Linked DNA regions of Macaca mulatta. The protein of the gene in region 4 interacts with the protein of the main gene of each other region in a pairwise test. Links are inferred from orthologs where the notes say so. Each region holds a gene or a part of one and is shown on either strand. Other genes may lie near its edges. The genes, in order: FAM107A, CTNNBL1, PSMF1, LDOC1, POLL, SMARCD1 and DPPA4.

The links.
Region 1: the proteins of LDOC1 (region 4) and FAM107A interact in a two-hybrid assay, tested with the Homo sapiens proteins (2 studies listed by BioGRID and IntAct). The two-hybrid records come from large-scale screens. The link is inferred for Macaca mulatta from reciprocal best matches to the Homo sapiens genes LDOC1 and FAM107A.
Region 2: the proteins of LDOC1 (region 4) and CTNNBL1 interact in binary tests that used the Homo sapiens proteins (3 or more experiments, as listed by UniProt). The two-hybrid records come from large-scale screens. The link is inferred for Macaca mulatta from reciprocal best matches to the Homo sapiens genes LDOC1 and CTNNBL1.
Region 3: the proteins of LDOC1 (region 4) and PSMF1 interact in binary tests that used the Homo sapiens proteins (3 or more experiments, as listed by UniProt). The two-hybrid records come from large-scale screens. The link is inferred for Macaca mulatta from reciprocal best matches to the Homo sapiens genes LDOC1 and PSMF1.
Region 5: the proteins of LDOC1 (region 4) and POLL interact in a two-hybrid assay, tested with the Homo sapiens proteins (2 studies listed by BioGRID and IntAct). The two-hybrid records come from large-scale screens. The link is inferred for Macaca mulatta from reciprocal best matches to the Homo sapiens genes LDOC1 and POLL.
Region 6: the proteins of LDOC1 (region 4) and SMARCD1 interact in binary tests that used the Homo sapiens proteins (3 or more experiments, as listed by UniProt). The two-hybrid records come from large-scale screens. The link is inferred for Macaca mulatta from reciprocal best matches to the Homo sapiens genes LDOC1 and SMARCD1.
Region 7: the proteins of LDOC1 (region 4) and DPPA4 interact in binary tests that used the Homo sapiens proteins (3 or more experiments, as listed by UniProt). The two-hybrid records come from large-scale screens. The link is inferred for Macaca mulatta from reciprocal best matches to the Homo sapiens genes LDOC1 and DPPA4.

Annotation. Positions count from the first base shown.
Region 1 is NC_133407.1:122,159,730-122,163,681, reverse strand, and holds the start of FAM107A (actin-associated protein FAM107A), read left to right. Parts: upstream 1-1,152; 5' UTR 1,153-1,325; intron 1,326-3,952. UniProt on the Homo sapiens protein: Stress-inducible actin-binding protein that plays a role in synaptic and cognitive functions by modulating actin filamentous (F-actin) dynamics. Mediates polymerization of globular actin to F-actin. Also binds to, stabilizes and bundles F-actin.
Region 2 is NC_133415.1:90,595,802-90,599,301, reverse strand, and holds part of CTNNBL1 (beta-catenin-like protein 1), read right to left. Parts: intron 3,400-3,500; coding exon 3,211-3,399; intron 1-3,210. UniProt on the Homo sapiens protein: Component of the PRP19-CDC5L complex that forms an integral part of the spliceosome and is required for activating pre-mRNA splicing.
Region 3 is NC_133415.1:83,002,117-83,005,616, forward strand, and holds part of PSMF1 (proteasome inhibitor PI31 subunit), read right to left. Parts: intron 1,529-3,500; coding exon 1,343-1,528; intron 1-1,342. UniProt on the Homo sapiens protein: Plays an important role in control of proteasome function. Inhibits the hydrolysis of protein and peptide substrates by the 20S proteasome. Also inhibits the activation of the proteasome by the proteasome regulatory proteins PA700 and PA28.
Region 4 is NC_133426.1:147,689,613-147,692,694, reverse strand, and holds LDOC1 (protein LDOC1), read right to left. Parts: upstream 1,851-3,082; 5' UTR 1,757-1,850; coding exon 1,316-1,756; 3' UTR 501-1,315; downstream 1-500. UniProt on the Homo sapiens protein: May have an important role in the development and/or progression of some cancers.
Region 5 is NC_133414.1:113,660,634-113,664,725, forward strand, and holds the start of POLL (DNA polymerase lambda), read right to left. Parts: upstream 2,801-4,092; 5' UTR 2,764-2,800; coding exon 2,649-2,763; intron 2,604-2,648; exon of another isoform or gene 2,525-2,603; intron 1,555-2,524; coding exon 1,260-1,554; intron 877-1,259; coding exon 714-876; intron 318-713; coding exon 1-317. Other genes in the region: protein DPCD, read left to right, coding at 3,733-3,796.
Region 6 is NC_133416.1:57,257,524-57,261,693, forward strand, and holds the start of SMARCD1 (SWI/SNF-related matrix-associated actin-dependent regulator of chromatin subfamily D member 1), read left to right. Parts: upstream 1-1,370; 5' UTR 1,371-1,527; coding exon 1,528-1,704; intron 1,705-2,325; coding exon 2,326-2,513; intron 2,514-2,801; coding exon 2,802-2,844; intron 2,845-2,933; coding exon 2,934-3,056; intron 3,057-3,540; coding exon 3,541-3,663; intron 3,664-4,170. UniProt on the Homo sapiens protein: Involved in transcriptional activation and repression of select genes by chromatin remodeling (alteration of DNA-nucleosome topology).
Region 7 is NC_133407.1:174,309,768-174,313,267, forward strand, and holds part of DPPA4 (developmental pluripotency-associated protein 4), read left to right. Parts: intron 1-1,420; coding exon 1,421-1,709; intron 1,710-3,107; coding exon 3,108-3,306; intron 3,307-3,500. UniProt on the Homo sapiens protein: May be involved in the maintenance of active epigenetic status of target genes. May inhibit differentiation of embryonic cells into a primitive ectoderm lineage.

The DNA.
Region 1 (3,952 bases), on a different chromosome or scaffold from region 4:
AGGATCTACATACATTTTTTACTTTTCTTGGTTTTTTTGTTTGTTTGTTTGTTTTTCAGGTTCTTTTGAGACAGTCTTGCTCCATCACCCAGGTTGGAGGGCAGTGGCCCAATCTTGGCTCACTGCAAACTCCGCCTCCCAAGTTCAAGCGATTGTCCTGCCTCAGCCTCCCGGGTAGCTGGGATTACAGGTGTGTGCCACCACGCCTGGCTAATTTTTGTATTTTTAGCAGAGACAGGGTTTTACCATGTTGGCTAGGCTGGTCTCAAACTTCTGACCTCAAGTGATCTGCCTGCCTCGGCCTCCCAAAGTGCTGGAATTACAAGTGTAAGCCACCATTCCTGGCCTACTTTTATATTTTACATTCACACGTTCATTCTTTGAGCCACTACTTATGGAACACATATTCTGCCAGGCAAAATGCACCATGCTGGGCTCTGGCCTCAGTTCACATAGAGTCCAGGTCTCTGCTGGAGAAAAGTCCCATATGCTGAGCTTTGACTGTGTGCTTCACTAATGTCATCTCATCCATGTCACCTCCCAACCACCCTGGTATGCTCCACGTTTGACAAACACAGAAACCAAGACACAGAGACACTGAGTGGCTGCTGAAGGGGCTGGTGCTGGAGCCAGGGCCAACACTCGAGCCTGCTGAGACCCAGACACGGTGCTTCCCCTCTCCTACACTCTCCTGTTGGCTCCTCTGTGAAGTGCCCATGGCGTTCGGGGTATCAGGAAAATGTTGTGTACGGAGTTTCTGACCCATTCGTGGATAATCAAGAACTGACCCAATGCTGAGCAGTTTCCCCTCCCTTTACACCCCACCCCTTTCCCCCCAGAGCCATTTTCTCCTGAAGAATCCACACCACTGCCGCAGGAAGCTTGGCTTCCCCTCCCATGGGGAAGTGCTGGAATCCACTCTTGCCTGACCCTCCCATAAAAAACAAGGGAAATTCCTTTACGTGAGCTGCCTTGCTCAGAACAAAGCTTGGCGTGTTTCTTATTCCTCATCAATCTGACAAAATGGGTATTTATTTGTGCCTCTCAAGCGTGTGGCTTGGACATGATGTTCCGCATCGTGGAAGTGGCCGTGTACCAAGTGAAATATCTGTTACTATAGTAACAGTTCCTTTTTATTGATACCAGAATAAACAGGAATGCAAAGGCTGTCTCACTTGTTGGCACATTTCAGCAGCCTCCCGTTCCCAGGGGTTTAAGAACCGCCCTCTAGAGGCAGCCCTCCTTGCTAGTCTGGGACTTCCCAGTGGAGTGAGGAACCCAGCAACACGCTCCTGACTTCCCTTCCCAAGGACTCGACCTGAGAAGTAAGACCATCTCTGTTCTGTTTCCCCCGCTGTCGAGCGCGGTGCTGTTCGGGAGGAGGTGGAAGGGAAGGAGGGCAGACCCTGTGCACTGAAGTGGGCTGTCAGTGGACCTGAGTGCTTTGAGTTTAGGTACCTGGGCTATGTCCCAGCATCTGTAAAATGATACGGGAGATGCCTCCCGGCACCCTGGGTTTCGGAAAAGGGTAGGAGACAAAGAAGTGAGCCCCTAGGCATAGCCCTGCATTCTTGTTGATCTTTTTCTGCTGCATCCTCAGGTGAATCTGAATTAATGCATGATATAGCCTCACCTAAGTCAACTATCACACAGTATGGGGGTTTAATTCTCGGCACAACCGACAGAACACAGGTTTCAGCGTCAGAACTTGGGCTCAGATTCGAGCTCTTTCTTTCACCGGCTGGGTGATTTGGAGAAATCAGATGACTTCCCTGAACTTCAGTTTCCTTGACTGTAAAAAGAGGATAATGACAGTACCCACCTTCTCAGTCTGTCGTAAGAATTTCATATTTCATGAGATACGACTGCTAGGTGCTTAGCACAGTGCATGGCACATAGTGCATGCAGGTTAACGTGTGAAGGGCCTGCCTTTCTGGTGAATTTGGCTTTAGGACTTTGCAATACAAGGCAAGTCTGAGATTGGGCCAGAAATCAAGAGCTGTAGGATTGGGTGTGTCACTTTTTGAAACTGCTACCAAACTCAAGTCACTTCGAGCTTCAAGGCAGCCCCCACACCTGCATCTCTGGGTGACTTAGATCCTAAGTGGCCCTCTTAGTTCTGTTGGTGGTAAGTACCTGCTGGAATTTTCCCTGCAGAGGCATCTGCCAGGTAAAGTGGCTGGCATCATGCCACTAATGAGCCAGCAGGGATTCCAGGTCTGCTGATGCTTGTTCCAGATCAACTGCACAATGCTGTCCACTAACCTTGCTAAGGACCCTCCATGTCTAGCCCTGGACTCTGCTATTTAATTGATTCAAAATCCTAAATGCCCACCCAACATTCTCCCAAGGTAGGAAATTACAACGGACCCAAGGCAAAATGTTCAGGAAGTCAGCCTTGAGTCATTGCATCCAAATGGACAAGCAGCTCTGCTGGGGGCTTCCGAGCATCGACCAGAGGCTGCTGAGAGATCTGGAGGTGGCTCCCAGATACACTGTTCTTTGGCTGCTGGCCAGTGAAATACAATTAGGCACTTTCCCCATGGAGAGGAAAAAAGCCAGAAGGGTCAGGAAATCCAGTGACCATGCTTGTCACTTTTACTGAATGCCTCTTTTTCGTTTGCCAGTCGTTATTTTGAAAGCCTCTCTTCTCCTCTGCCTGCCATCCCATTAAATGCTGAACCAAGAGGGTCCTGAATGTGTTCTGAACTCAGCAGCTTGAACAGTAATAAGGAAGTGGGGGCAGAGGAGGAAAGGCCAACAGCTGGTCCTCTCCTAAACGAGACCAGCCTGAGGCCAGACAGGCCTGTGGATTCTAGCTTAAGCCCAAAGCTGCTGGGGCCAGGCTGGGTCTCCCCAGGGAGAGTCTGTATTTCACATAGGCTATTAGTCCTCAAGTTAGCAGGCCTCCATGTTCTCACCTATAAAATGGGCTCACACAGCCTCTTCATTGGGGTTTCTTGACTATCTAGAGAGAGAAAAGGGACATAACCCTGCTTTGTCAACTAAAAGACATTTTGCACCTTGAAGACAGTGGAGAGATAGAAAGAGCACTGAATTTGGCGTCCAAGGTCCTGGCTTTGCTGCTTACTCTCTGTGTATCTTGAGACAAGTAGCTTGGCCTCTCTGAGCCTTAGTTTTCTCATCTATAAAACGGGGTACCACTGGCTGCCTCTGAGGGTGATTTAGAGATCCAGATCAAATTCGAGAGGTGACCACAGGATTTCTTCAGGACAGAAGTACCATGGTTTGTCTTCGGTGAGTGTCACTCTGCCAGGTGCTGGGCTAAACACATTGTGCCATTGTATCACTTCATCCTCCAAACTGCTCCGTGAATAGGCTACTATCCTTGCTGTATAGAGGGTCAGAGAGGTTAAGCTACTTGTCCAAGGTAACACAGCTGGGAAGGGTTGCCACCATGAATCAAACCCAGTCTGTCTCCACTAAAACATCTGCTTTAACCATTGCTTTACTGGCTCATGTGTCATTTGTTACAACTGATGCCATCAAAGACAGAAATAGGACTACCATAACAGTGGAGAGGCAAGTGGAAGGGTCACTGAGGTCTTAGACAGAATGGGGTATGGCTATTGTCAAGATGAACTGGGCCCTGAGACTCCATCAGTGCAGCTCTCCTTCTGTCTCTCCTTACTCTCTCCTGTGGGTGGGGGCACCAGTGTTTGGTTTCAAATCTGCCACCCTGCATTAGCCATGCATGCCCCAGTGGCCCTGTGCCCTCTCCCTGGGAGCAGCAGAGATCTCCACTGAGCCTTGCCTGGTGTGGGGCCAACGTCCTGTGGAGCCTCTGGCGAGGAGCTCTGGGACCTCTTGAGTCACCAACAAAACCAGGGAGGAATCAAGCAAGGGGCTCCCAATCTTTCCTCGGACCTCTTATTATCCCCACCCCATGAAAAACAACATCAGTCCCATAGTCTGCCTATTGAGAATTATT
Region 2 (3,500 bases), on a different chromosome or scaffold from region 4:
CCTGGTCCTTACTAGATGCTGAGAAGGAATTCAGACAGGTACTTTGAATCCTGAAGTAGCATCAAGAATTTAGTAACCCTGCCTAGAGAATGCAGAAAAAAGCTAGTAGACCATACAGAATTTTCTGGCTTCATACATTGGAATAATACCTATGAAAGCAAATAAAATGAATATTTGAAAACTAAATCATTTTTTCTCCAAAAAATCTACACTAAAATTTCACACATTTTATCTTCAGTTTACCTTCCAGTTTAAATTAGTGTGCTGCAATGCACCCTGCTTCTCTCAATACTATCCCAACTCAAAGCTTCACAGCTTTGTAGTCATTGACCATAACTCAAGCCTAAAAGCGATAAAGAAACTGCTATTAAGAGAACCTGAAATAGATCCTTTTGGAAAGCACTGAATCATCCCATAATTTTATAAGTACTCAAAAATGTTAGCTATTATTCTATTATTAAATTTCTATTTCCACATATTGGGCTTTAAGTGGGAGCTACCCATAAATTCATTTTCGGCATGACACATTTCTTAGATTACACCAATGATTCCTAGATCCCAAGGTTCTCTATCGAACCCCTACCTCCTCCCCAGGGTCTACAGCTTAAAGAGAGGTTCCCTGATGTGGTAAAAACAAGTCAGAGTCCTGGCTCAGTCAAGACTCAGAGCCTAATTTCACTACTTACTAGCCATGTGACAATGTTACTTTGCTGAATATATTCCTCAAAGCTTCATCAAGTCCAGCTAATTCTAACTCCTAAATCTTTCCTGAATTCATCCACCACACACTGAGAATAAAATCCCAAACCCCTCACATGATCTATGTAAGGATCTGGCAGGATCTGCCCATATAATCTCTCCAACCCCAAACCAGGGCAAAGACCCCCATTGCTAGCCCATGTCTACTTGTTCTGTGGCACAAGTAGACTCTCCAGTGTCTGGCACACAGCAGGTACTCCGTGAAGATCTGAGGAAGGAAAGAAGGAAAGAAGGAAGGGAGGAAAGGAGGAAGGGAGGAAAGGAGGAAGGGAGGAGGGGAGAGGAGGGGAGAGGAGGGGAGGGGAGAGAAGGGGAGAACAGGGGAGGGGAGGGGAAGGAAGGGGAGGAATGAAAATGTTACCTGTATCTCTCAAGGTCATAGAGATGACCTAAAGAAAATATGTACATAAAAGTGCTTTGTAAACTACATGAATGCAAGCTGTTATGGTTATTATTAGCAACAGGCACAATGTACCCAACATCTCACTGGAATTTAACCAAAATAATCAAAACATTTCTAGGAAAGAGTTAAATCACTTTCAAGCAAGCTCAATATCTGCTACTTTTCTTTTTCTTAGCTAACATCGTGCCCCACTCTGGAGAAAAACCACATTAGTGTTAACACAGCTCTCACGGGATTTCCGAAGTCCTAGCCTCTCCAGGGTTTGGCCTTCCCTCCTTTAATTTCTCTCCAACACTGGGGGAAACTGAATTATCAGTCTTAGTCATCAGCCACAGCAGTATCTCCAATAGCTCAACGTCAGAAACCAGAGGGAGATTTCAGAAAGATGAATGCTGGTGATGTAGCACAAAAAGGACAATAATATTTTACAAGTTCACGTGACTTTACAGGGGCAAGCATCACTTGTTTTTCATCAAATGGGACTTTGGTGGCAGTGAGAAAATAACTCCTGGACTTGTAGCCTTCCATGTGTCATTTTTACAAAGTGATCTCTTTTTCCCTGTCCCTTAACAGAAGGGCTGGTCCCACATTACATTTCTGTCTCCCAGGCTAGAAACCACTTACCCATGACAGCTACTATCCTAATCCTCCAGTACCAGCCTTGCCCTACATGGGAATTATACCTGCCAATTAACTGCTGCTGCAGGGCTAACAGATTGAGCAGAAGCTGGTGAGGAGGGAAAGGAGGGAGGATGTGCTACACACACTGTTTGCCTAAGCCCTGGCAAGGCTGCTGCCCTCAGAGAGGAAATTCAAAAATTCAGGACTGTCTCCCACCACATATTTCTAAAGTGCCATCATCTTTTAGGGGCAGACCCCCAAATTAACACTAGTACAAATCCTAATAAGGAAATAGCTACTGTCACAACACAGTAAAGACCTTTTTGGAATATGAATCCATTTTTTCTTCTTCTCAGATTCACACGCCAGCCTCATTTTTTAAATCCAAACTTAGCATCGTGTCTTTGAGGGAACCAAAAAACAGCTGGCTCTTAAGACTCTATTTCCATAATTCATATTGAACAAAATGCCAGAGTGAAATAACATACAAGTTAACACTTAAAGATTTAAAAAGACACAGAGGTAAGGTCATTTTGTTTTTAATCACTGATATTTTACCTCCACTCTTCCCAGCTTCATTTATTCATTCAATAAATATTTATTAAGGGCCCACCAAGAGCTAGGTATTGCTCTGGGTACCAAAGATAGAGCTGTGAACAGAACAGAGCCAGTCTCTGTTTTCATGGGAGGTTGGGAGGAGGACAGCAATGAGCACAATAAACAACTAGAATTTCAAATCATGATACGTGCTGTGCAGACAATATACAGAACACAGTGATGAGGGAATGAGAGAACGGCTTGCAGGGCTACACAGGAAAGACTTCTTGGAGGAGGAAACATCTCACTGAGACCTGAATGTGAAGAAACCAGCCATACAAAGCATCAAGGAAGAAGAGCATTCCAACAGAGGGCACAGAGGTCCGAAGGTCCAGAGGCAGGAATGAGTGGAAAAGCCCCAAGGCATCTTGGGCAACAGCAAAGAGAAAGGCCCTGAGGAGTCTCCTTCCCTAAGCTGTACTTTTGCAGTCACATCTAAATATCTAACAATGTGGCACCCCCTTAAACTTCTCCACTTTTGTTGCTTTGCTAATACCACCATTTTCTCTGCCTAAAAAGCCCTTCCTTCCACTTGATAAAATTTGATCCCTCTTTCAAAGGTAATAACACAAGTGCCTTCTATGTGTCCTCAGTAAGATCCAGGAAGCCTGCCTGGATAATTCGAAAACTCTGTCTTGTTCTTTACATCTCGCAAGATGCTTTCCCAACTGCCCTAGCCCACTTAACCTTCACATTAACGCGATGAAATATGAATTCTTAACCCCATTTTACAGATGAAGATGGGAAGCTCAGACAAGCTGAGTATTTGGCCCAAAATTACATTCTATAGGGCCGGCCATCTCAGCTCCCACCCATCGCTGCCATGTTACCTCTTCCTCTTCCTCTTCCCCATCTCTGTCAATAATCTGAAGCAGCCTTTTTTTGTCATCATCCGCTTCTTCCACCACAGTCATTTCTTCTTCCCGATAGCGGCCACGTTCTCGAGTACCAGTTTGTTTCCGACGCATCTTCTGCTCCTCCTCTTCATCATCCCGGGGACGTTTTGTGCCCCTATTGGGCTGAGAGAAAAGAAACATAGGATTTTAGAGCTGGACATGACATAGAAGCTGGGCATGGTGGCTCACACCTATAATCCCAGCACTTTGGGAGGCCAAGGAGG
Region 3 (3,500 bases), on a different chromosome or scaffold from region 4:
TATACATCATCATCTTATTAATTACTCTCTTTTTCTAATTTATATTATAGTTAGGACTTTATACTGATTTCCTCTGAAATGTGGATGAGGTAAGTTAGAATACCTATGAATTCCATTTCAATATAGTAAGAGCTATTTCACAGAATATTTGTTTTGAAATGGGCATTGGGTCTAATAAAGCTGAGAATTACTATTTACTTCAGGTCTAAAATTTTTTCCCAACCTGACTTCTGACCAGGGCTTATTCTTAAATCTTTCCAGCATGGAAAGGTGGTTAGATCACATCTGTTTACATCACAGGCAGAGCACTGTGCAGGGAGTAAGGATACCTAGACCCCAGCCCTGGCTCTACCTCTTTATTGGTGGCTGGTGAACTCAGGCAGGTCATCTTATCTCTATTCCCTTTGGTAAAATAAGATATATCAGACAAGTCATTTTCAATCTTTTCAACCACTTTTTCTAATTCTCCATTGTCTTCACAGGACTCAATATTTTTGGTAAAGACTTTGCCAAAGAGATATGCCAATCATTACTTGTAATAATTTAACTGATTTCCCATTTTTAGCTAACTAAAGGCATATAATTATGAACCAGAATAAAATAACAATGGTAGTCTACATTTATTAAGTGCTTATTTATGTCCCTCACAGTGAACTCTGTCCCTCATCCCCACCAACAGTATGATATCACAGTATGGGCTCCAAACTGAGAAGTGGTATCTCAGCTGGAGGCTGGGGTCTCATGGTCCTTGTCTCCTCCCTCTGAGCAGAAGTCTCCAGTCCTAACGCTGCCATCCTAATCTGCAAAAACCTTGGAATGTGACTCACTCACACCCCATGCTATTTTGGAAAACTTCTGAAGTTGATAGCGAGGTTGGGGGACTACAGTGAAAAGAAATGAAATGGGCAAGACATTGGGACTGCATCTCCTCTGGGTTAGTACCTCTGCATCTTTGCATTTTCTCAAAAAGACTGGCCCAGGGCCCTGTCTAGACAAAGAGCTCTGGGATGAATTAGCTGTGAATTACCTGGGCAGCAACCCTGGACTACTGCACATAAGCCCCAGAGGCACTGATCCTTGGATAGACTCAGGGGCTCTGTGTGGCCTCTAGAAAGAAGTAAGGCAGGCTTAAGATGTGGGGTAATTAGGGTGACTAGTAGCAGTTCAAGAACTCACTGCTCCACTTACGTCTCCACTTTCTAATTCCATTGAACCCCAAGACATTGATCATTTTGTTGAAAACACACACGGGCCAGGGATGGGGTCAAGTGGCAGGATGGGGATAGCTGGCTGGAATCCCGCTGCAGAAGCATGGGCTTCCCGCTGGACGCTCTGTACTCACCAGGGAGGCTGCCGGCTGGTGTGTGGATGGTGTGGAGGAATCCGGAGTGGGTCCACCTCTCTAGCGGTAGCAGGGGGGAACTCCCGGTGGGGACTGCTTACACTAGCCTTCTCCCACTGCTCATGGATAGGTGTGATGATTCCAGACACAATACGAGACCGAAGCTCCTCACTGTTCTTGTAGGTCCTGCAGGAAGCAGACGAAGAGTCAACTGCTTGCAGTTGGCTAGGAACCCTGGAAGCGGTATTCTGGCCGCAACGATGGCAGCGGCGGCCCTGAGAGCTCCTGGCGTTGCGCTTGGCCTGTTTATAAGTGGGGGAACAGGCCGCCTGGTGGACCTGGGTGAGGGGGGCAACAGCCCCACGCTGTCTCTGAGATTTGGGCCTAAGCTTCTTAGGCATCTGAGTTGCCCCTCCTCGTTACCACCCCATTAGAAAGAGGTGAGGGTGTAGGGGCACCGAGCCTGGACTGGCTACTCCTCTGTTCTCACCCACCTCACCCCTCCCTCAGCTTCATTGTGTGTTCATCATGTGTCATGGGAAGGGTCATGGAAGGCAAAGGCTCCACGGGGAGGATGAATTAGGTTCCTGGTCCAGGCAGGCAGAGCTCTGGGGGCTCAAGGTCCAGTTCTGTCACTAACTCAGGAGTCCTCGGAAGGCTGCCCCTAACACCTATCCCATCCTGCCTGGGCCTCTTTTTCTTTGCCTGTGAGAGACAAGTGACGTGAGCCACAGCTGAGGTGTGGAGGCAGGCTGAGGTAACAGAATGGGTAGGACTCCAGGCTTCCTAAAACACTGGTATTTTAAAATGAACCACATCCTGCCCATAAGGCAAAGCTCACAAATGTAAAATAACTGAAACCATACAAAGTATGTACTCCAACCATATGGAAGCACAACAGAAATCAAAACAAAAAGTTAACTCTCTAAGTACATGAAAATTAAGCAACATACTTCTAGAAAATCCTTGGATCAAAGTCCCAAAAAAGAAATATATAGCACTGAATTAAAATGAAAATAAAAACATAGGAAAATACGCAGGATATAACTAAAGGATTGCTGAGAAGAAACCTCATAGCACTAAATGCTTACATCAAGAAAGAGGAAGGAACTCAAATCAATAACCAAAATTCTGACCTAAAGAACCTAGAAAAAGAAGAGCAAATTAACCCAAGGCAAGCAGAAGTAATAAAGGTAAGAACATAAGTCAATAAAAAAGAAAAACAATAGAGAAAATGAAACAAAAAGTCAATTCTTAAAAAAAAAAATGAATACAATTGACCAACTTCTAGCAAGACTGACAAATATAAAAAGAGAGAGGACATAAGTCACCAGTAACAAGAATGAAACAGGAGATATTACAATAGATCTGTAGCCACTGAAAGGATAATAAGAGAATACTAAGAACAACTTAATCCAACAATTCATAATAGACCAATTCTTAAAAACCATAAACTACAACTCAGCCAAAATGAAACAGATAATCTGAATAGTTTCATTAAAGAAAATGAATTACACTTAACATTCTAAAAACAAAAAAAAATCTCCAGCCTCAGATTGTTTCAGGGAGAATTCTATCAAACATTTAAAGAAGAATTAACATCAATTTTACCATCACTTCTAGAAAATATACGAGGAGGGAATACTTTCCAACCCCTTTCATGGGACCAGTATTACTCTGGTATCAAAACCAGGCAAAGACCATACAAAAAATAAATAAATAAATACAGACTATTATATCCTATGAACTTACACACATAAAAAAACATCCTCAATAAAATAAGAGCAAATTGAATTTAAAAATGTATAAAAAGAATTATATACCATGACCAAGTATGACTTGTTCTAGGTATGCAAGACTGGTTAGTAGTCACAAATCAATCAATGTAATGTACCATATCAATAAGCTATGGAAGAAAAATGATATGATCATATCAATTGATACAGAAAAAAGCTTTTGACAAAATCCAACATGATAAATCCATTCAAGATTAAAAACTCTCAACAAACTAAGAATAAAGGGGAACTTCTTTAATCTGATAAAGAACATTTACAAAAAACCTACCCATAACAATAGACTTTACTGTGAAAGACTGCTTTGCCCCTAAGATTGGGAACAAGGCGGTGGTTCACGTCTGCAATCCCAGCACTTTGTGAGG
Region 4 (3,082 bases):
CCTGTAAGTGACATGTTGGCTATTTGGAGTTTGAAAGTGACAATGTACTATGTTGGCTCTCTGGAGCCTGAACTCAACAGCTGCATATAGGCAATAAGGATTAAGGGGCAGAACTTCCCTGGCACAATATTAAGGAATCCAAAAGCTCAGAGAATTAGGAGCAATACATATATATGTCCTGGTTTATGCCTGTTGTTACGGTCTAATTATTAATACTGCCCTCTTTGCCATCTGCTCAGCCAACCCTTACCCATGCCACCCTGGAGGACCCAGAGAACACACCCTTTGCCAGGGCTTTAAGAAATGCGTTGGTGAAGGAAGCATCAGAACCCTGACAAAGCCCTGAGGTAGCTGTCCCCAGCAGCCTGGAGTTGACAGCAGGGATTCCTAGGATTGGTTGTATTCCCTGATTTCCATGGGAATAACGGTAGTCACAGTGACAGTTCTAGAGGTCAGTGATAGCACTTAACTATTAAAAGACAATCATTTCGTTTTTTAGTGCTTGATATTTATTGAAAATAATGCCAATGCTTTTTCCAGGTAGTATTGAGGAGCTGGGCTGAGTGCTTGTTTGTTTTGTTTTTAGTACTATTTGTCCAAATGCATACATCTGTGGGACTGCTGCAATTTTGAAAGAAAAATGACAGCTGTGTAAAACCAGTGCATAGGAAAAAAGAAATATCAACAATTTGGCTGTCAGGCACACCGCGCCCCTGCAGCAATCTGGTATGGCAGGGGAGGACACTCGGAGTAGGTAGAAAACTAACCAGGCTGAATGACTGGCCTCTTCAGGGGTTGGTGAGCTGTCCAAATCAATGTCCGAAGAGGCAGAGCCAACTCTGGCATTTTCCAGGTTGGTCCTGATCTCGAAAGGCGGTAGTCTGTAGGTGGGATGTGGTGAGTGGATGTGAAGTGGCAGCATAGTTCTCTGGGCAGATGTAAGCCTGGCAGCAGGGCAGGTGGCAGCAGCAGGGCTATGGGTGGTCTGCGCAGTTTGTAACAGGGGCCTGGCCAATAGCTGGGGTTCAGGACACAGTTCAGATTAGCAGGGGAGGGATCCCCGGGATGGCCAGGGTAGATGACACTTCCAAGCACTTCCGAGTGAGTGAGGCTCCAGCCCCAACCCCAGCAGCAGGTAACTGGAGCACTATTCCTGGAACAAAGACAAGCACTACGGAGAAATGAAGAAAGAGCAGACGGGCGCGGGTAGGGAAGGGGACCGGAGGGCAAGGGGGAGAGCACTGGCTCCTGGCGGGGTGAGGGCTGCGGGGAGGGGGTGACGGCGTGCAGGGCCCTCCCCCCGAGGCCCGAGGGCCTAGTAATTATCCTCTTCGTCCTCGTCGTCGTCGTCTTCGTCGTCATCCCAGCCAAAGCACTGTTTCATCTCATCGAGGAAGGCTCGGTAATCACCTAGGATGGGGCTATCCATCTCGATGTAGGGCACCACCCACTCCTCGGCTTCCCCGGTGAGGAGACTGATTAGGAATGCCACCTTCATGGCGTCGTTGCAGAATCGGTTCTCGTTCACGAGCATGTAAGACGCTGTCTGCACGATAAACTCAGGGAGCCGGGAGCTCTCGCCATTAAACGTTTCGGGGAAGGGCACCGGGCAGCTCGGCGGACGTACCTGGCGCAGCAGGCTGGCCCTCTCGCACACCAGCAGCCGCAGCTGTTCCATGAGCTGGCTGTTCTCGATGGTCAGGGCGCGGTGCCGCATCAGGAGCGCGTGCAGCAGCAGCACCAGCTCATCCACCATTGCGAACAGCCTGGAAGGACAGGGCTCGGCTCGGTTCGGCTCGGCCAAGGTGCGCACGGAGGCCTCGCAGGAAGTGCGTGTCCACGGAGACGCTCGATGGCCAGGGGCTGGGGGCGGGGGGCGGTGCGCGCCGGGGTCCGGGAGGCTACGCAAGCTCCGCCCACGAGGCCATTCGGACGGATGGTGCGCCGGCGCGGCGCGGGAGGGGCGTGGCCAGACTGGCGGCCGCGGCTGCGTGGGGGCGTGGCCGGGATGGGAAGGGTTTAGACAAAGAGGGCGTGGCCAGGAAAAGGATGCATTGGGTCGCTGAACCACCGGCTTGTGGTAGGTCTCTAGGCGGGCAGTTAAAGGCTGGGGTAGGCTCCCCTAGCTCCTGGTTGTGGGGCCTGCGTTAGCAGAGGACCTGGCGAGCGCTGAGTTTGGTCTCAGAGAAGGCAAATTTGTTCAAACTGAAAGGATTAGCCACCCTTCTACCTAGGCAACTCTCACAACTCAGTTGTTCCTTCGTGGGTCTGTGGCCACTAGATTCTCTTGGCGTGATGTTTTATTAACACATTTTCTTTCTTGTTTAAATCTCACTCAGAGAAGTATTGACACTGCTGGCTGCACTGTGGGACTCACACTTCCTTTTAGGATCATGAAGACCTTCAGGGGTTCCTGCCTTTCATGAAAAAGGCAGTATTTAAACAGTGACTTCTTTAGTAGGGGAATAATATGGCATACTCCCTTAAAACAAACAAACAAAAAAAAACAAACCTAAGTAGCAGGATATAAAGAAGTTTTGCAAAATCAGCATCCAATAATCAATTGCAGGCATCCCACATATCTTTGATTCTCTATTTCTTGTCCTGCTATTAGTGCCTTTGGCCACTGGGTTTTATTCTGTACTTAAAAATGAACTGTTAAGATGTTTGTGTTTTTAAATAATTTTGTTTTTCTACTTTAAACGGATCCCTAGAGCCGACAGGAATTGTTGGCTCTGCTTTCAAATATATTGCCAATTCAGTCATGACTTGTCATTTCTACCACTGCCACCCTGATCCCCAGCCTTTCTCACCCAGACTGCTGCAACTAATCACTTAGCTTTCACTCTTTTCTTCCTATAGTATATTCTCCATAGAGTAGCCACAGGAATCGGGCGCGGTGGCTCACTCCTGTAATCCTAGCACTTTGGGTGGCCAAGGAGGGCGGATCACGAGTCAGGAGATCGAGATCATCCTGGCTAACAGGGTGAAACCCTGTCTCTACTAAAAATACAAAATATTAGCGGGGCGTGGTGGCAGGTGCCTGTAGTTCCAGCTACTCAGGAGGCTAAGGCAGGAGAAT
Region 5 (4,092 bases), on a different chromosome or scaffold from region 4:
TGGTACGAGGTGACAGGCTTATGGAAGCTCTTGAGAGCATTGATGGCCTTGGCATAGCCCAGGGCCCTCCACTTGTCTCCCTGAACACTGTAGGCTTTGGCCAGAACTTCCAGCTTCTCTGTGATATGGAGGTTGTGGTTGGTCGCCTTCTGGCTTGAGGGCTGTGCACAGACCCACTTATCCAGGACCACAGGGGCTGGGCTAGGATCACAATCTCCCTCAAGGGAGGCGGGGTAGTGGCCACTGATGAGGGCTTCCAGATCAGCTGCGCTAACCTGGGTTTCTTCCCCATCGCTGGCTTCATCATCAGAGATGGGCTTGGGGTAGAGAAGAAAAGAAAACAATAAATTCTTGTCCTCCAGGAGAAGGGATCCTTAAAGGTGGGGGTCATCTTCTTTGTGCAGGGGGAGGGTCTTCTAGTCAGACCTAAGAATGAGGTGGGGCCTTCTGCATCAGACTTGGATCACCTCGGGTGTGGGGCCACATTCCCTTTGGCTCACCGCAGTGCCTACCCCTAGGATCCCCAGTGGTATGTGTTAGATACGGCCTAGATGAATGCAGGAGTGATGAGTGTTGGGAAGAGATATATGGCTTCACAATGGGGTCCTCCTCTCTCCGGGGACTGGGACTTTCTGAACAGTCATCAGGCCCTCCCCATTTCTGTGATCTGCTTCCTAGGGGAAGGGAGCTCTGAGGGATGGAAGGCTCCTGACCTGGGCTTGGGTGTTTGGTGCCTCTTTTGTCTTTTGGGGAGGAGACACAGGCCTGGTGGGAGAAGGAGGAGGAGGAAGCGCTGTCTGAAGCAGGGCCTCATGGGTGCCAGGAGGAAGAGAAGCATCCTGCTCTGCCTTGCTGGGCTGTGACTGGTCCAAGTACCTGTGGGGATGGTGATGGGAGGTTAAGACACCAAAGGTCTCACCCTGTTTCTGTCCCCAGTCCTAATGTATTCTGAAATACTTGGTTTCCCAGTGTGTCCAATTAAGAAAATGAGTTTTTTGAGGTTTTTGGAGTTTCTCTTGAGATAGGGTCTTGCTCTATCACCCAGGCTGGAGTACAGTGGTATGATCAAGGCTCACTGCAGCCTCAGCCTCCCTGGCTCAATCAATCCTCCCACCTAACCCTCTTATAGCTGGGACTACAGGCATATACCACCATGCCTGGCTAATTTTTAAATTAATGACAGTTATTTTTAATAATTCAAGAAGAGAGCTCAAGATGCTACTAGAAAACATTGGAAAAAAAGACTGGGATCAGCCCACCTACTGGGGATGAAGATGCTGAATCCAGCTACATCCACCAGCCTCCTCTCCTGAAGGCACAAGCTCAGCCAGGCTGACTTCACCAGCTGAGCACCCGGGGGCAGCCGGGGTAGTCTGAGAAGGCGGAGGGCTCGCTCATAGTCCATGCCTTCATCCACCACAATGTGAGTGACACCTGGGCCCTGGACAGGGCATAACTGGCCACCATGCTGAACAATCTGCTTCTCAAAGAGTTCTGCCCGGGCTCGTCCAATGCCAGTGCGCACAACATGGGCCCGAAGGGAGCTCAGCCACTCTGGGGAAGGAACATCCAGATGACTACTGTCATAACTTTTTAATTTTATCTGCCACCCCCTGGCCACAACTTCTAACATGATCTGAATACAACTTCTAACATGATCTGAATGACATGTTCACAGTCCCCTACCCTGAAAATAAGCATTTGTCTTCCATCCAGGCAGGTTTCCTTCTATATACAGCAAATTTTCTCACAGGCCAGTACTTGAAAGTAAGGGACAAGGATTTTTATACGTCCTGTTCCTTGGTGCAACCTAGAAGTGTCTGGCACATTGTAAGTAACCTGTAAATATCTGCTGAATGAATGCCTCCTCCCTTCTTACTTTGTTTTTGTTTTGTTTTTTTCGTTTGTTTGTTTGGAGACAGTCTCACTCTGTTGCCCAGGCTGGAGTACAGTGGCGTCATCTTGGCTCACTGCAACCTCCATCTCCCGGGCTCAAGCGATTCTCATGCCTCAGCCTCCCAAGTAGCTGGGATTACAGGCATGTGCCACCATGCCTGGCTAATTTTTTGTATTTTTGGTAGAGACGGGGTTTCGCCACATTGCCCAGGCTGGTCTCGAACTCCTGAGCACAGGTGATCTGCCTGCCTTGGCCTCCCAAAGTGCTGGGATTACAGGCATGAGCCACCGCGCCCAGCCTCTCTCCATACTTTGAATCCTTTATCATTTATTCTTTCAACAATGCACATTTCTTGCCCTTACACTCTGACAGACCCGACAACCCTGCCTCCAAAGCCTCTGCTATTTATTTATCAATTTGGCTGCAAAACAACTAACAACAATCCTGGGTAATGGAGGGGGGTTTCTGTCCCAGTCCCCCAGGGCAAAAATTATACTGGTCATTCCCTGAGGGTCCAGGGAGTCTTTTCCAATTGATAGGGGTGTTCAGGTAGAAAAGAAGATAACACAGCAAATGGCCTGTCCAAGACCCAGGACCAAGCTTAGTACAAGGCAGATACAAACAGACCTGCAGTCCATGGACAGGCAGAGTCAGCTCCAATATCTGATTCTGGACATGAACAACATAGGGCTGAAGCACATGAAGGCTGAGGGTTCAAGCGCATGAGGGTTCTGAGAGTGGGTCATCTCACCTTCTGCTTCTTCTCCCTCTTCCTTCCTGGGAATCTTTGCAAGTACTTTTGATGATGCATCAGCATGAATTTTCTTCCGTTTGGGAAACGCCTTCAAGATACCCCTGGGATCCATTGAAGTACGGCTGCATCCCAGCCTGTTGGAGGGTTGGTCAGGGCTGCTGTCAGGTGGAAATACAGAATTAAGGATCTCCAACCCCTTTGCCTATGGAGGTAGGGGGTAGCAGCCCAGTTTGGGGAAGCGGGAGGTTGGGGGGGATCTCTTCAAACCCTGTTAAACTAGCTTTTTAGCCTAGCTTCACACTCCCCAGTCTTTCAAAGTTGGAGTATTAGGGGAAATGAGGGGAAGGCTGGAGCCATCGGGGGTACTTTTAAGGAGTAGGAAACTATACCCATTCCTCAAAGGGGTTGCTCTAAAGATTCAGCACAGCCCTCCTGCTGCGGCCCACTTCGAAGGGCTTTACCAAAATGGGATGCTGGGCTAGGAAATGGAGCTTTAGGGGATGGAGCGGAGACTGGGGAGGACCTGCACATAAACTCCACATACTCTTTTTCTACCTCCAACACAGACTTGCAGAGGAAAACCTGAGGAGGCGGACTTTCGCGGGTGAGTGGGAACGCCCTGCACCTGCCCTGGTCTCAGCCTCTCGACATGGGGATGCTCAGCGCCGCAGCTGCGGGGAGATGGGGCACGGCCGCAGCAGGTGTGGGGAGCCCTCCGGGAATGGAGGAGTCTCGCAGCTGGGGGTGAAGACCCAGGCAGGTGTGGTGTACTCGCCCTGTACGCAGCTGGCGCAGGCCAGGGAATCCCAGCTCGGGGCTAGTAGAGAGTTGGAGTGCCCAACCCCGGCGCCAAGAGTCTCTCTCCAACCGCCAGAGTCAGTCCCCGGGTGCGGTCGACAACAGGCCAAGTTGGTCACCCGAGGGTGGGCAGGAGTAGGCCACTTACCAGGAGAGCCAATGAGAACGGACGAAGGGGGGAAGGAGGGCAAATGCCCAGAATAGCTTCCGAGTCAGCCGGAAGTGACCTTCAGTGGAACGGTTGCCATGGCAGCGGCCGGGCGGGCTGCTTAGCACAGGAAAGATGGCGGTGACGGGCTGGTTGGAGAGTCTGCGGACAGCCCAGAAGACTGCACTGCTGCAGGACGGTAACTCGAGGGTCCCCGCGAGCTCCTTCGTTTTTTTCCCCCAGGGTCCGGCCCTCCGGGAAGGGCCTCAGGGCCTGGGTCGGCAGAGCTGGAAGGGTCTCGGTGGTCAGCCGGGCCAGGTCCTGCATTTGCGGATGAGGAGACTAAGGCTCACAGAGATGACATGACCAGAACACATGTCTCCGGACACCCCTTAAATTTCTCTACACCATCTCGCCCCGCTCTGAGTTCTGTTGCTAATATAGTAATTTCTTTTACATTCGTTATCTCATTTGCTCCTCACCACTGTCCTGAGA
Region 6 (4,170 bases), on a different chromosome or scaffold from region 4:
AGGGAAGCAGGAATGAGGCCAAAAAGTGTGCATTGGATAGGGGAACAGCAGGCAGGGCTTTGGGTGACGCATGCCTCTGGTCTAATAAACTGGGTTTCAACCATCTCCTCTTCAGTGTTGTTCACTTATTTGAAAACATATTTAGGTATTCTCACTAAGTGCCTAGAGCTGAGCTTGGTTTTGGGGCCAAACAATTAGGGGATGAGTAAGGAGAAGGTTTGAGTAGGGAGACTGTGGTCCTCCTGGGATGGGACGGCTGACCATCGTATCAGGAATAGTTTGAACCACTGGGCAGGGAAAGAGGGAGGAGTCAAAGGCAACAAAGGTCCAAAACAGAATCCCCATCACAAACAATGCTTTAGAGAGAGAGCAGAGTCAAAATTCAAGATAAACTGGAACTTATTATAAAATCTGAAAGCAGGCTGGCACGGTGGCTCACGCCTGTAATCCCAACACTTTGGGAGGCTGAGACGGGCGGATCACTTGAGGCCAGGAGTTCGAGACCAGCCTACGCAACATAATGAAACCCCCATCCCTATTTTTTAATATTAAAAAAAAATCTGAGGCCAGGCACAATGGCTCACACCTGTAATCCCAGCATTTTGGGAGGCTGAGGCGCGCAGACCACTTGAGCTTAGGAGTTTGAAACCAACATGGGCAACATGGTGAAACCCTGTCTCTACCAAAAATACAAAACAGCCTGGCATGGTGGTGCATGCCTGTGATCCCAGCTACTCGGGAGGCTGAGGTGGGAGGATCACTTGAGCCTGGGAGGCGGAGGTTGCAGTGAGCTGAGATGGTGCCACTGTGACAAAGAGAGACCTCATGTCGAAAAAATAATAATAATAATAATCCGGAAGCAGGTTAGGTCGGAGACAAAGTTAGGTTGAAGTTCCCACGTGAGGTAGTTATTGAGGCACTTTATCTGTGGAATGAGTCCTGGGCTATGAGCAAGAAGACCTGGAATCTTGGCTTCGGCTTTATGACTAACTTGCTGGTTGACCTTTGCCAAGTCGTTCACCTGTGAGTTCAGCTTTCCTATTTGGAAAATGGAATAAACTGTGTTTCCCTCCTCAGCCCCTGATAGTTATAGCAGTAAGAAAATGAAACGAAAAGCAATCAAAGCGTTTTGGGAAGTTAATGCCATGCGCCAAGATGAAGCTATTACTCCAAGCACCTCATCATCAGCGGGCTGGAGTCGGGGTTGAGACTGGGGCTGAGGCTGTGGTCCGTCCCCCTTTCCAGGTCCTTGTCTACCTCCCGTCGGCCTGGGGGCGCCCGCTCACGGGGCCTCTCTATCCCAGAGTTCTTCTCTATGGTTTTCCCTCCAGGACCGTGAAGGCGGGAGGGCGTGGCCAGCACGCCTTTTCCGCTACTCGCTCCTCTCTAGGCGACAGTCTCGCTGCCCTGAGCCTCCCGTGCCGGCCAGCCGGCCGGGGGAACAGGCGGGCGCTCGGGGGGCGCTCAGGGGGCGGGGGGAGTTCCGGTTCCGGTTCTTTGTGCAGCTGCATCGGCGGCTCCGGGAAGATGGCGGCCCGGGCGGGTTTCCAGTCTGTGGCTCCGAGCGGCGGCGCCGGAGCCTCGGGAGGGGCGGGCGCGGCTGCTGCCCTGGGCCCGGGCGGAACTCCGGGGCCTCCCGTGCGAATGGGCCCGGCTCCGGGTCAAGGGCTGTACCGCTCCCCGATGCCCGGAGCGGCCTATCCGGTGAGTGGGGCAGGAGGAGGGACGCGCGGGCCGGGGGCGGGGCCGAGCGGGGACGTGGGAGTGACAGGGGTGGGGGGAGAAGTAGGAGGGACTCCCTTGGGAGGGGTTCGGGCTCTGGGTGGGGGTTGGGGGAGGCAGTGCGCAGGAAGAGAGGGGGAGGCAGTTGGCGTCCACACCTGCTCCTAGGGGCATTGTTTCCGTGGGGAGTCGGTAGAGAACCAGGGTGGGTGAAGTGGGTCCAGGGATACCTGTACGAGGGCCGGAGTGCAGAGGGGCTTGAGCAGCTCCATTGATCAAAGGAACACAGAACGTGTAGTTGACAAATTGAGGTCAGCTTCTAAAGAGATAGTAGCTAGCAGAGTAAATGTGGAACTGGCGATGTCCGATGTGTCCGATCCAAAATAGACCGATAATTTGAGTATAATCTGGCTCTCGCTTAGCTTTTGGACTCTTTATTTTTCTGTGGAGTCACTGCTGGAGCAGAGGGTTCTCGTCTCATTGTCCTCCATTCCATCCGTAAACCTTACTTCATTCAAAGAACTCAGGCGTTCCCTGCTTTTCTTTCTTGGTGGGGTTTAGCAGGTGAAACCATGACATCTCTGGGTCCTCTCCCCTCTGTAGAGACCAGGTATGTTGCCAGGCAGCCGAATGACACCTCAGGGACCTTCCATGGGACCCCCTGGCTATGGGGGGAACCCTTCAGTCCGACCTGGCCTGGCCCAGTCAGGGATGGATCAGTCCCGCAAGAGACCTGCCCCTCAGCAGATCCAGCAGGTCCAGCAGCAGGCTGTCCAAAATCGAAACCACAAGTAAGATGATCCTGGGGCAGAGGGAGGGAGGGAGGGAGCCTGGGAGTACACAGGTGGTGGGATTACCTGAACCAAGAAGTGGTGGTGCTGTGTCAGCAGATGGTGCTACAGGATGATTGAGAATGCTTGGTGGTGGTGGTGGTGGTGGTGGTGGTGGTGGTGGTAGTTCTTTGATTTGAGAGAAGCTTTGCAATCCCTTCACATTACTATAAATGGACATGCTGACAGCTTATTTTCACGTTCTGACTAGTTCTGTCCCAACCTGATAATAGTGTTTATTCCCAACAGTGCAAAGAAAAAGAAGATGGCTGACAAAATTCTACCTCAAAGGGTGAGTCCAGGCTGTTTTCTGGAAAGTGTGGTAGGTTTGAGTATAGAGATGAATCATCCTAGATTTCAATTAATTTTTCTGTTCCTAAGATTCGTGAACTGGTACCAGAATCCCAGGCCTATATGGATCTCTTGGCTTTTGAAAGGAAACTGGACCAGACTATCATGAGGAAACGACTAGATATCCAAGAGGCCTTGAAACGTCCCATCAAGGTAACACAGGAAGTTACTAAGCAGAGAGCCAAAGGAGAGGACCCAGGAACCTTCAGCAGGCTTAGGATGAGAAATCAAAGGCACAGCACAACTCTCCTTGGCATTTAAATTGTATCTTTCCCTTCCGCCTACAAACTGAGAATTACATTAGGAGGATAAGAACAGAATGGCAAAGGGGGAGGGGCTCTTGATGTCTCTTGCACTACAAATATACCCTTGTCCATGTTTTTGCTGTAACTGCTCTGCTACCTTGGGAACCTGGCACCTTGCATGACTTTGTCCACCTGGCATCCCACTGTATGCACTTGTACTTAGGCTGATGGCCAGTACTCCTCTTCTAAATGGAATCTTCATCCACCCACCCAAGGGACTGGGTAGACAGTAAGCCAGTCTGTTAGGAATAATTTTGGGGTTTGGGGAGACTCTTGTCTTCAACATTAGACCACTGAAGCCCCACGATCAATCCTGTTTCTGCCTTCCTCAGCAAAAACGGAAGCTGCGAATTTTCATTTCTAACACTTTCAATCCGGCTAAGTCAGATGCCGAGGATGGGGAAGGGACGGTGGCTTCCTGGGAGCTTCGGGTAGAAGGACGGCTCCTGGAGGATGTGAGTTCAAGGTCCACAGTGGTTGGCATCTAGGGTGGGAGCTGCTGGGAATGAACAGTGTTGTCTGGTCAGCAGGAAGCCTAACTGGTGCTCACAGCTCCTTTTGGGAGCAGTAGGGAGAGGGACACTGTTCCCTGCACTGAAAGACAATGGTCCTTTGTGTTTGCCCCCACACCTTTGGCCTTCACTGGTATCATATGGAGAACCTTATTGTCCTGGGATCTGATTTGTGATTTACCTTCCTCTTGGTGCTGCTGGCCATTGGATTTAGCCGTATCTGTAGATTATTTAGTTTTTGTTTTGTTTTGTTTTTAGTCGAGTTTGCACTTAATTTGAGGCCGTGTTTCCTCTCTGAGTTCTTGTGGTATCTCCATCTTCTCAACTTTCATTGGAGGCACCCCATAGTTTTAAGTAGGATAGATTTCTCTTGACAGGCTCTTTGTTGCTTCCTGGGGAGCATCAGCTGACAGGTGATAGCCCCCAAACTTCCCAACCCAGAAGCTCCTC
Region 7 (3,500 bases), on a different chromosome or scaffold from region 4:
CAGCCCAGCCTGGCCAACATGGTGAAATCCTGTCTCTACTAAAAATACAAAAATTAGCCAGGTGTGGTGGTGCATGTGTGTAATCCCAGCTATTCAGGAGGCTGAGGCAGTAGAATTGCTTGAAACCAGGAGGCAGAGGTTGCCGTGAGCTGAGATGCACCATTGCACTCCAGCCTGGGCACAAGAGTGAAACGCTGTCTCAAAAATAAAAAGAGGCAGCACTTAAATTTTTTTAATTGACAAAAATTGTATATTTTTATCATGTACAGCACATGGCTTTGAAATACGTATACATTGTGGAATGGCTAACTCAAGCTAATTAATACATACATCACTTTACATACTATATTATTATTATTATTATTATAATTATTGAGACAGAATTTCGCTCCATGCATCCGCTGCCTCCTGGATTCAGATGATTCTCCCGCCTTAGCCTCCCGAGTAGCTGAGATTACAGGTATGCGCCACCACACCTGGCTAATTTGGATTTTTAATAGAGACGGCATTTCTCCATGTTGGTCAGGCTGGTCTCAAACTCCCGACCTCAGGTGATCTGCCCACCTCAGCCTCCCAAAGTGCTGGGATTACAGGCGTGAGCCCCACCGTGCCCAGGTTTTCTTTCTTTCTTTTTTTTTTTTTTTTAAGACAAAGTTTCGCTCTTGTTGCTCAGGCTGGAGTGCAGTGCGCAATCTCAGCTCACTGCAACCTCCACCTCCTGGGTTCAAGCGATTCTCCTGCCTCAGCCTCCAGAGTAGCTGGGATTACAGCACCTGCCACCACGCCTGGCTGATGTTTGTATTTTTAGTAGAGACAGGGTTTCACCATGTTGGCCAGGCTGGTCTAGAACTCCTGACCTCGTGATCCGCTCACCTCGGTCTCCCAAAGTGCTGGGATTACAGGCGTGAGCCACTGTGCCCGGCCAGCAATTTTCTTTCTTTCTTTTTTTTTTAAAGACAGAGTCTCCCTCTGTCACCTAGGCTGGAGTGCAGGCTCACTGCAACTTCCGCCTCCCTGGTTCAAGTGATACCCCAGTCTCAGCCCCCTGAGTAGCTGGGATTGCAGGCATGAACCACCACGCCTGGATAATTTTTGTATTTTTAGTAGAGATGCGGTTTCACCACGTTGGCCAGGGCTGTTCTTGAACTCCTGACCTCAAGTGTTTCACCAACCTTGGCCTCCCAAAGTGCTGGGATTACAGACCTGAGCCATGTGCAGCCAACTGTGCAATTTTCAAGAAGACAGTACATTGTAATTAACTATGTATAGTTACCAAGTTGTACAGTGGATCTCTTGAACCTAGACCTCCTGTCTAAGTGAAACTTTGCATTTGATCAAGAACTTCTTAACTCTGAGGCCATTTATTTTTGTTAGAATTTTAATCTTTATTTTTATCTTTATTATCTAACCCTTTCTGTAGGATTTTCCTAGCACAGCAAAAGAGGCCAAAATCCGGAAATCATTGAAAAAAAAATTAAAGGTGGAAAAAGGGGAAACGTCCCTGCAAAGTTCTGAGACACATCCTCCTGAAGTGGCCCTTCCCCCTGCGGAGGGGCCGCCTGCCCTGGAAGATTCCACTGCTCTCCTTGAGGGAGTTAATACAGTTGTGGTGACAACTTCTGCCCCAGAGGCTTTGCTGGCCTCCTGGGCGAGAATTTCGGCCAGGGCGAGGACGCCAGAGGCAGTGGAATCTCCACAAGAGGCCTGTGGTAAGCCCAACACGAAGAGCTTATTCTGGTCCAGTGGGGAAATAAGCTTAGTAGAGATTAATGCCTGATATATTTTTAGGGTATATCAAAATGCCTTTGAGGGCCGGCGATTCCTGGACCCTGCCCACAGAGTTTCTAATTCAGGTCTAGGACAGGACCTGAGCATTTGCATTTCTTTCTTTTTTTTTTTGAGTCAGAGTTTCGTTCTTGTTGCCCAGGCTAGAGTGCAGTGGTGCGATCTTGGCTCACCACAACCTCAACCTCCCGGGTTCCAGCAATTCGCCTGCTTCAGCCTTCCTGAGTAGCTGGGATTACAGGCAGGCGCAACCATGCCCGGCTAATTTTGTATTTTTAGTAGAGACGGGTTTTCTCCATGTTGGTCAGGCTGGTCTCAAACTCCTGACCTCAGATGATCCGCCTGCCTCGGCCTCCCAGAATGCTGGGATTACAGGTGTGAGCCACTGCACCCAGCGAGAGTTTGCATTTCTCAGTTTTCCGGGCAGCAGTAAGGATGCTGGTCTGGGGACCACAGTTTGAGAACCACTGCTTTAAATGATTGATGGCATCAGAAGAGGATAGCAGTTTGGTTTTCTTTCTTTCCCCTTTAAGCAATTTAAAAGTAAGATCTAAAATTAATTGCCTGCAGCTGAGCCCCAGAATGGCATTAATAAGTTATTTAAAATATTTCCCAGTGTTTTCATTGTAAAATGGGCGATACCTAGCTTATATGTTGTAAGAATTACAGAAAATACAACAAAAGAAGACAATAAACTGTTTAGCACAATCCAATGTGTGTTCAGAGCTGGGGCCCCTGAGCTTGTTTCATGAAGCCCTTTCCAGACACTCTGGGTTAGTCTTTCTACCATCTGCCCACCTACAACTATACTACTTCCAACTAGATTTATTTATTTGTTTGTTTGTTTGTTTATTTGAGACGGAGTCTTGCTCTGTCGCCCAGGCTGTAGTACAGTGGTGTGATCATGGCTCACTGCGAGCTCCGCCTCCCAGGTTCACGCCATTCTCCTGCCTCATTCTCCCAAGTAGCTGGGACTACAGGCGCCCGCCGCCACGCCCGGCTAATTTGTATTTTTAGTAGAGACGGGGTTTCACAGTGTTAGCCAGGATGGTCTCGATATCCTGACCTCATGATCCGCCCGCCTTGGCCTCCCAAACTGCTGGGATTACAGGCATGAGCCACCGTGCCCCGCCTAGATTTTTAAGTTTTAACAGGAACTGTCTTGTATGCTTTTCTAAAGGAGAACAGAATAGAGAAGAGGTTAAGTTAGGATTTCAGGGTTCACGTCTTGGAGTTGGTCAATCAAGGGTGATGGGCCATAATGCAGCCTTACATCGGTATGTCATCCTGGTGTGTGGGTGCCTGTCTCTCTCCTTCGCCAGGTGTCAGGTGGTGTGTGGTCCATGGGAAAAGTCTCCCTGCAGACACAGATGGTTGGGTTCACCTGCAGTTTCATGCTGGTCAAGCCTGGGTTCCAGAAAAGCAAGAAGGGAGAGTGAGTGCACTCTTCTTGCTTCCTGCCTCCAATTTTCCACCCCCGCATCTTGAAGACAATATGTTGTGCCCCAAATGTGTTCACAGGTAATTACCTGATGCTTTTCTACAAACTAAAAGTGGGTGCTGGATTTTCAATTGCAGAAAGTCAAGATACACATTAATCTTATATAGCCATGTATTTCAAGCTCAAATTGTCAGTAAAGAGTTTCAAGAAAATCATTACTCAGTTAAGTTTATCCCCAGGAAACAGAAAGCATTTCTGTGTCAGGGTTTAACGC